Linked DNA regions of Mus musculus. The protein of the gene in region 1 interacts with the protein of each later gene in a pairwise test. Links are inferred from orthologs where the notes say so. Each region holds a gene or a part of one and is shown in the gene's direction. Other genes may lie near its edges.

Region 1 (3,733 bases):
CAGTTTTTCCTGTATTGAATCCCCTCAGAATTTATGCATCAAGTTATGTGGCATTTTGTTTTTCATACGGCACTAAATTTACTAGAATACTAGTCAACTTAGGGCAAGCATGGTAATGACATGGCTGTAATTTTTGCACTTGGGAGGTGGAGGTTGGAGGACCTATTCAAGGTCATTCCCCCACTACCTAGTTAGTTCATGGTCAGCCTAGGACACAAGAGACCCTGTCTCACAAAACTTAAAAAAAAAAAAAAAAAAAAAAAAAAAAAAAGTCTACTTAAGCCAACAACAGTGACTCTTGATTCTCCTATGGATGCAGAGAGTCAACACATGCGCATGGACACCAAAGCCCAGCGCCTGCGCACTGGGCAGTTTTTGCCTTTTGGTTCCCCCCCCCCCCCCCTTTTTGGAGTGTGCGCACCAAGAAAGACAAAGGTGGTGAAAGTGACCAAGCAGTCATTCGGGCGCATGCCCATCCCTAAATTGCCCAGGCTCCATGGGGCTCACTTTGTGGAGGCGGAAGTCCAATCCGATGCAGCGAGCGCGGCCCCCCTCTCCCTTTGATTGGTTTGCTTCCAGTGTTGTGGGGCGGGGAAAGGAAGGGACAGGGACAGTGGAAGGTTGGAGTGGTACAGAGAGCGTTCGCCTCGTTCTGCGCAAGCGCAGAGAGGCGACCAGGAGGGGGCGTGAGAGAGTGCAAGAGAATGTGGAAGCCCTGACGCGCTGGCGAGCGGGAGCTGGGTCGCTAGCCTAGACGCCTGCGCCTTGGCCCTCCGGCTCCGCGCGCGGCGGGCGGGTGCCCTGTGCGCCTGCGCAGTAGGCGGCGGCAGCAGGGGGAGGTGGAGGCCGTGGAGCGGCAGCGGCGGGTCCCGGGACCGAGGCAGCAGCGGGGGCGCCGGCGGGCGGAAGCTGAGGTGACGAAGGCGGCGGCGGCGGCGGCGGCCGTTTCCCTCACGGTGGCGGAGACCAAGGCAGCGGCGGCGGCGGCGGACGGGGAGCGGCCCGGCCCCGGCCCCCTGCTCGTCGGCTGTAGCAGGGCCGCCGTGGGGCCGGCCCGGCTCCCGCCCCCCGCGGCTCCCCCTCCGGCTCCTCCTCCAGGGAGACGCCGGGGACCCGGCCCGGCCCGCACTCAGGGCTCTGTTTCAGCTGCTGCCGGGCCAGTCGGAGGTGGTGGCGGCGCCATGGGCGGCCTGGCCTCTGGGGGGGATGTGGAGCCGGGACTGCCCGTCGAGGTGCGGGGCTCCAACGGGGCCTTCTACAAGGTGAGACGGCGCGTCGACCCGGGCCACCCTCCTTAGCCCCCTCCCCCAGCCGAGGCAGGGAAGAGTGGAGCGGGATCGAGTTTCTGGAGCTTGGTCTTGACCCTTAGAACCTTCGACCCACGTTCCCACTCGAAACCCTCCCGTGGCGATCGTGGGAGTTAACCCTCGTGCTTTTATTTTGAGCTCGCTGTTACACCTGCTTTTATCAGCTGAAAACATGGCCATCAGGTCATTCCTGTGCGGGGATGGGAGCCCCGGGTCCCTTTGGAGAAAGCCCTTTTCCTAGCTTCTAATCGACTTTTCTTGTTTTTTTTTTTTTTTTTTTTTTTTTTTTTTTTTTTTTTTTTTAGTGTAGGCGATACTTCAGCTTTTAATCACATCACCCCTGCAGCCCAAGCACATGGAGGATTCGCATTCTTTTCCTACATGACCCCCTTGGGAAGGTCCACTGTCCCACATTAGGTCTTCAGGGAGCCTTCTGCCTACTGGCTCTAGACCATTTGCTCAACTTTTGGTCTTAAATTCCTGTTCCCAGGCTGACAAGAAATGGTCAAAACCCATCTGTGTTATTTAGCATTAGCATCTTTGGCCTCAGGTTTTTATCAGCCAGCCATAAAGTGGATTTGTTGGACAAGTTTGTCACCCACCACACCTATATTCCAAAATCACCTATGAGGGATGGATTCACGCTTATCTCTTTGACTCTAGATATATTTAGGTCATTCCTCTATCTTCTTGGTAAGTTTAAGCTTCACTGTCTCTCAAAGGCCATCTCAACAAGTTCTTATTCTAACAGATTTCTGCTTGTTGACAATCCTTCTGGAAAGAAAAAAAGTATCTTTCAGAATTGCTTCTTTAATCAGCTTTTTCTTTGCCTAAGATTTGATTCCTGTGAACTTTTTTAAGGGGTGTGGTTGGGACAAGATCCCCTCCCTGGCTGCACTTGAACTCTTCCTCAGCCTAGGATTACAGCTCTGGCGTTACTGGTTGAGCCACCATGCCAGACCAGACTTTTGTTTTTTCCTTCTTTCTATCCACCACCCACCCCATCTTCTGTATCTGTCCTGAGTCTATTCTGGATCCCACGCCCCAGATATTTTCTTCTTCTGATCAGTGGGGTTCTGAACATCTTTTGACTTTTATGAGTGGAATTGTCCCGGACACGTTTGGTCCCTCTCTTACTCTTCATCCTGGAGAGAAAGAGGAATTTCCATAGCATGAGATGGGTGAGAAGAGCCCCTTTTTCTTCAGGTTTCCTCAGGTTGTCTGTCCCCCTACCCTAGTAGAACTTCTACTTTCTTATGCCCTTGGAAATAACTTTCTCTGACTCTACTATGAAATTGTATCTTTTTTGTAGCTGAAAAAAGACTTAGGTTTGCCCTACCCCTGTAGATGGTTCCTACCCTCACTTCAACTGATATGCTAGTTATCCATTATAAAGGCCAGGCCATTTTTTTCCCTTTTCTGATCAAGTTCTTTACCCAGTGCCTATGGGTGCACATACCTATTAGCTTTAATGCAGCTTCTCAACTAAGTCTCGGTCTTTTTAGCTTGGTATTTCTGTATTCCTGTGTATCCTTGATGATGTCTACCTGTCTAGTCTGTGTATAGCTGAAGAAGGCTCCTAGCTGATTCTGTCACTTTCCTAACTCTTGGTACTTTTTCTTCAGACCAGAACAGTGTCTCTAACATTTCTGTTTTCTGTAGCAAAAGTCTTTAATTCTTTTGGCTTCTGAGAGGACACATTAATGTTTTAATATCTATTTCACCCACATTTGTATTACCTTTGTTAAAACAGTCTCCTCAGGCTGGGTATGGTGGTACATACTCTAACCCTAGTACTTAGAAGGCTAAAGTAGGATTGTTGAAGTTCAAAACCAGCATGGGGAATGGAATCCAGTCTAAAACAACCCAAACAAACCCAAAAAGTACTCTTTATTATGCTCTCTTTTCCTCGATATGTTAGTCTTCATCTGTATCCTTCTAACATCAAAATGTTAAAAATTCCAAAAAAGCTGTGTGTAGGTGTGTGTGTGTATATACATACATACACACACACACACCTACACACACACCCACCCCCGTTCGATTTCTGGGTACAGGATTTCTCTATGTAGCCGTGGCTGCCCTGAACTCAAACTCTGTGGGATAGGTCTGCCTTTGTTGAGTGCTGGGATTAAAAGCATCCACAACTACTCTTAGTTTGAAAAGTGGTTCTTAAATTGAGTATGAGATCAAGATAAGATATTTGCATTTGGTTTAAGGAAGCTCAGGAGCCATGCACAGCTGGGACAGATGAGTGCTCAGTTCCAATTAACTGTATGACATGGTTGGGCTGGGACATGAATTCTGTTACACATATGGGTATCCAACAGAAAGTCTCTCTTTTATCCTTTTATTCTGTGGGCCAGAGCAGTGATAGATTTGAGGGAAGCAGGGACAGGATTCTTTGATAGTATAGAGTTAATAAA
Region 2 (3,371 bases), on another chromosome or scaffold:
TGAGTCTCAGGACTCAGTCGTCAGGGGAGAAAGACGTCAAAAGTTCTAAAAGGCTACTTCTACAGATGTTTATACAGCATGCAGCCCCTTTCTTCTAGAAAAATGGGCTATTTCCTCTGAATTGCTTATGTGCCTTTGCTTTGTAGTCATTGTCGACTGGTTCAGGCTTCTTCGGGGATTTGGAGTATATTCTCTTTCAAAAACAAAAAATAAAACAACCAAAACAACCAACAAAAAAGTTCATGCAGTTGGAAGCCTAGCATCGAGCGAAGCCTAGCATCGAGCACCTTTCTGACCATCTAAATTAATCACCTAACCTGCTACCTGACATCCGTAGCCCCTCTCTTACCTATCACGCTCATTTGGAAACAGCTATTTTCTTGTTTGTCTTTTCTCACTGCAGTATTAAGCTCCCTAAGGCCAGGGATCTAGTCTGCCCTGTTCAGCAATGCTGCCCTAGCACAGTAGGTTCCCAGGAAGTTATTTGTAGATTTTAGGAAGGCTGGGGTTTTTAAGTAGAATTCACTGGGGGGACTGAGGCCCATGAGTAGGAGGTCTATTCTCCCCACAAACTCACCTTGCTGTGGTTTAAGTTTCAAGGGATCTTGTGCCAGGAGCCTAGTCCTCAGTATGCAGGTTGTGTTGAGAAACGCTGGTACCTTTAAGAGGTGGGGCCCAGTGGGAGGTGGCAAGTTGGCCCCTCCCCCTTACCCTGGCTTCGCGTCTCACCTGCAGTGTCTCCTTTTCCCAGGCACTCTATTGTCACTCACCAGCGAGGTGGTGTGGACAAAAAGGTTCTTGTCAAAGCTGGTACTGTGTTTGTGTCTTCCATATCTTACCTTGGAAGCTCAGTTCTGCTTCGGATTCTCCACATAGTTGTGATAAACTGTCTGCAGTGCCCAAATCCTAATTCTTGCCTTGGGCTTTCATCTACTCTGCCCCAAGTTTTTAGGCTCCCCAGAATTGTTCCCATCTGTACCCGCCCCGCCTCCCACTCCCCTGCCCAGGTGCCAAGGGTTGTGCTGAGTTCTCTCTCTCTCTCTCTTTCTCTCTCCCCCCTCCCTCCCCCCCCCTCTCTGTGTGTGTGTGTGTGTGTGTGTGTGTGTGTGTGTGTGTGTGTATTTTCTAATGGCAGCCTCACATGGGAGTTGCCATTCCCTCTGTGAACGCAGGAAAGAGAGGTAGACTCAGAGACCAGGGATTCACAGAGCTGAGGTTCGCACAAGGGGGCTGCTGTTGGCATCTTTATGCTAACAACTTCACCTGTCAGTACTGTTCCCCTTCTGATTTAGCAGTGGCCATGATGGTGGCAACTTCAAGCTAGAGGGAGAAAAGCTGTCAGTGCAGCAGAAGTGCTAGGGATAGTAATCCCCAGCAAGTGTCCAGACACCCTCTTCCACCAGGGTGGGCTTTGCAGCTGAGCTCAGAAAGAGGCCCAAAGCCAGAGACAGAATGCCAGGCTACAGGCTGCTTGGTGTTAGTGAAGCAGGAGAGACAAGGCAGAAGAGAGGAGGTGGAAGGGCTAGAGGGCAGGACTGTTTTACAGTCTAGAAGAGAGTGACAGCGATGGTGGTTGATGCTGACAAATGAGTCAACTGGGCCCCTTGTTTGGTCATTTCTAGATTGGGCTGTCCTTTTCCAAGTCATACAGATGCAATTTAGGTTTGGGGGCTGGTGGTATATTCTCAGCAGTTGAAGCAAGGGTTGTAGCTCACTTGGTTGAGTGCTTGAGTAACAAACACAAAACCTTGGATTCCATCCTCAGTTCCTGTATTTGGGTGTGGAGGCAGAAGCAGGAGGATCAGAAGTTCAAGGTCATACTCCTTTATATAGAGTTCAAGGCCAATAAGAGCTCTGAGAGGCCTTGTCTAAGAGAGAGAGAGAGTTGAAGGAATCAGTCACTGAAGTCATGACAACCAGATCCTAGATATCTCAGGGTGCCACCACGCTCCTAAACCATTTCCAGCTCTACAGCTGAACCCTCACATCCATTCTGTGTCCTGCACCTCCTTCCTGTGTCTTTCTTAAACCTGCATCCAAGCAGGCCAGGCTGCATTCTGGATGAATGTCTCCGGTTCTGGGAATTCTGCAATGACTGACTTGCAGGTAGCTCACACAGACAGTAAGAACCAAAATTCATTGGTCCTCCCACCCTGGAGGACTGACTCTACCAAGAGACCTAGAAGACCATTAGGAGCAGCCCCTGCTGGGAGTTAGAGCGGGCAGCTCACTGCCAGCAACCCTGCTTGCCTGTGTGAAGTCGATTGGGTGCTGGCATCCGATCTTTCCCCACGGTGTCTCTCAGGTTAGCTCAGACACCAGCTCCCTCCCTCCAACCCAGACTCTCTTCCTTGTTCTCAGCTGATGCATTGGACTTCCACCCGTGGGGCTAAACACTGGTTCTTGCACAAAATAAAAACATAGAAATCTCCCCTTGTTCTGTAAAAGGCACAGACACAGAAACAAACACACAGTCTGGAAACAGGGCAGTGTTTTGTCAGTATTCTAAAGTGTACGTTTCATGGGGGAGTGGGGAAGATTGCTTTAAAAGGCTTTGTAGTGGGCACTATAGCGGGGGAAAAAGATTAGGAAACATGGATCTGACCAGCGGCTTGTGTGACCTCAGCACTGGCACTGAGCTTTCCAAACAGTGTCTCTGCTCCCCTCTGCCAGCCTCGCCAGGCAAGTCCACCCTCCGTTGCCCTTCCTGAACCGGGCATGCCTGGCATGTCTGCCTTCCGTCCAGATCCATTCATGGTTGCTCTCATCGAGGCTCTGGTGCCCTTGGCTTATTTTCTGTGGTTTTCCTTCCCTCTAGCTATGGTATCGCTGGCTCAACCAATGTGACTGGGGATCAAGTAAAGAAGCTGGACATACTTTCCAATGACCTGGTGATCAATATGCTGAAGTCGTCCTACGCTACCTGTGTTCTTGTGTCTGAAGAAAACACAAATGCCATCATAATCGAACCTGAGAAGAGGGTGGGTCTGTGTTTACGCCTCTGAAGGCTTGCTTGCAGCCATTTTCCTTCTCAGCTTCATGGAAGATTTTATTCACTTCTCTAAGCTAGATTTCTACCGATTACCAAGCTCTCTTGCTCTTCTGTGTTCCCAAACCTCTCCTCTTACCTTAGTCCCAGAGGTTGCATTGATCCTGCTCTCCCCGTCTCTCCAGGGTACGTCTCTGTCACTGCTGTGTTTAAGGGATCATTACAGCCTGATTCTGGTAGTTGCCTGTTCATCATGACCAATCTCCAGCCTTCGTGTTAGACCCACAGCCAAGCTGAACTGCCTGGCTCAGGCACTGGGATTCTCTGGTGCTCAGAGTGCCTTGTGGGGGAAGAGGAAAAAGCAATCGTCTGTGTGCCCCAC

The links.
Region 2: the proteins of Fxr2 (region 1) and Fbp1 interact in binary tests that used the Homo sapiens proteins (3 or more experiments, as listed by UniProt). The two-hybrid records come from large-scale screens. The link is inferred for Mus musculus from reciprocal best matches to the Homo sapiens genes FXR2 and FBP1.

Annotation. Positions count from the first base shown.
Region 1 is NC_000077.6:69,632,137-69,635,869, forward strand, and holds the start of Fxr2 (fragile X mental retardation syndrome-related protein 2), read left to right. Parts: upstream 1-834; 5' UTR 835-1,181; coding exon 1,182-1,262; intron 1,263-3,263; exon of another isoform or gene 3,264-3,383; intron 3,384-3,733. UniProt on the Homo sapiens protein: mRNA-binding protein that acts as a regulator of mRNAs translation and/or stability, and which is required for adult hippocampal neurogenesis. Specifically binds to AU-rich elements (AREs) in the 3'-UTR of target mRNAs.
Region 2 is NC_000079.6:62,874,759-62,878,129, reverse strand, and holds part of Fbp1 (fructose-1,6-bisphosphatase 1), read left to right. Parts: exon of another isoform or gene 1-1,066; intron 1,067-2,818; coding exon 2,819-2,981; intron 2,982-3,371. UniProt on the Homo sapiens protein: Catalyzes the hydrolysis of fructose 1,6-bisphosphate to fructose 6-phosphate in the presence of divalent cations, acting as a rate-limiting enzyme in gluconeogenesis. Plays a role in regulating glucose sensing and insulin secretion of pancreatic beta-cells.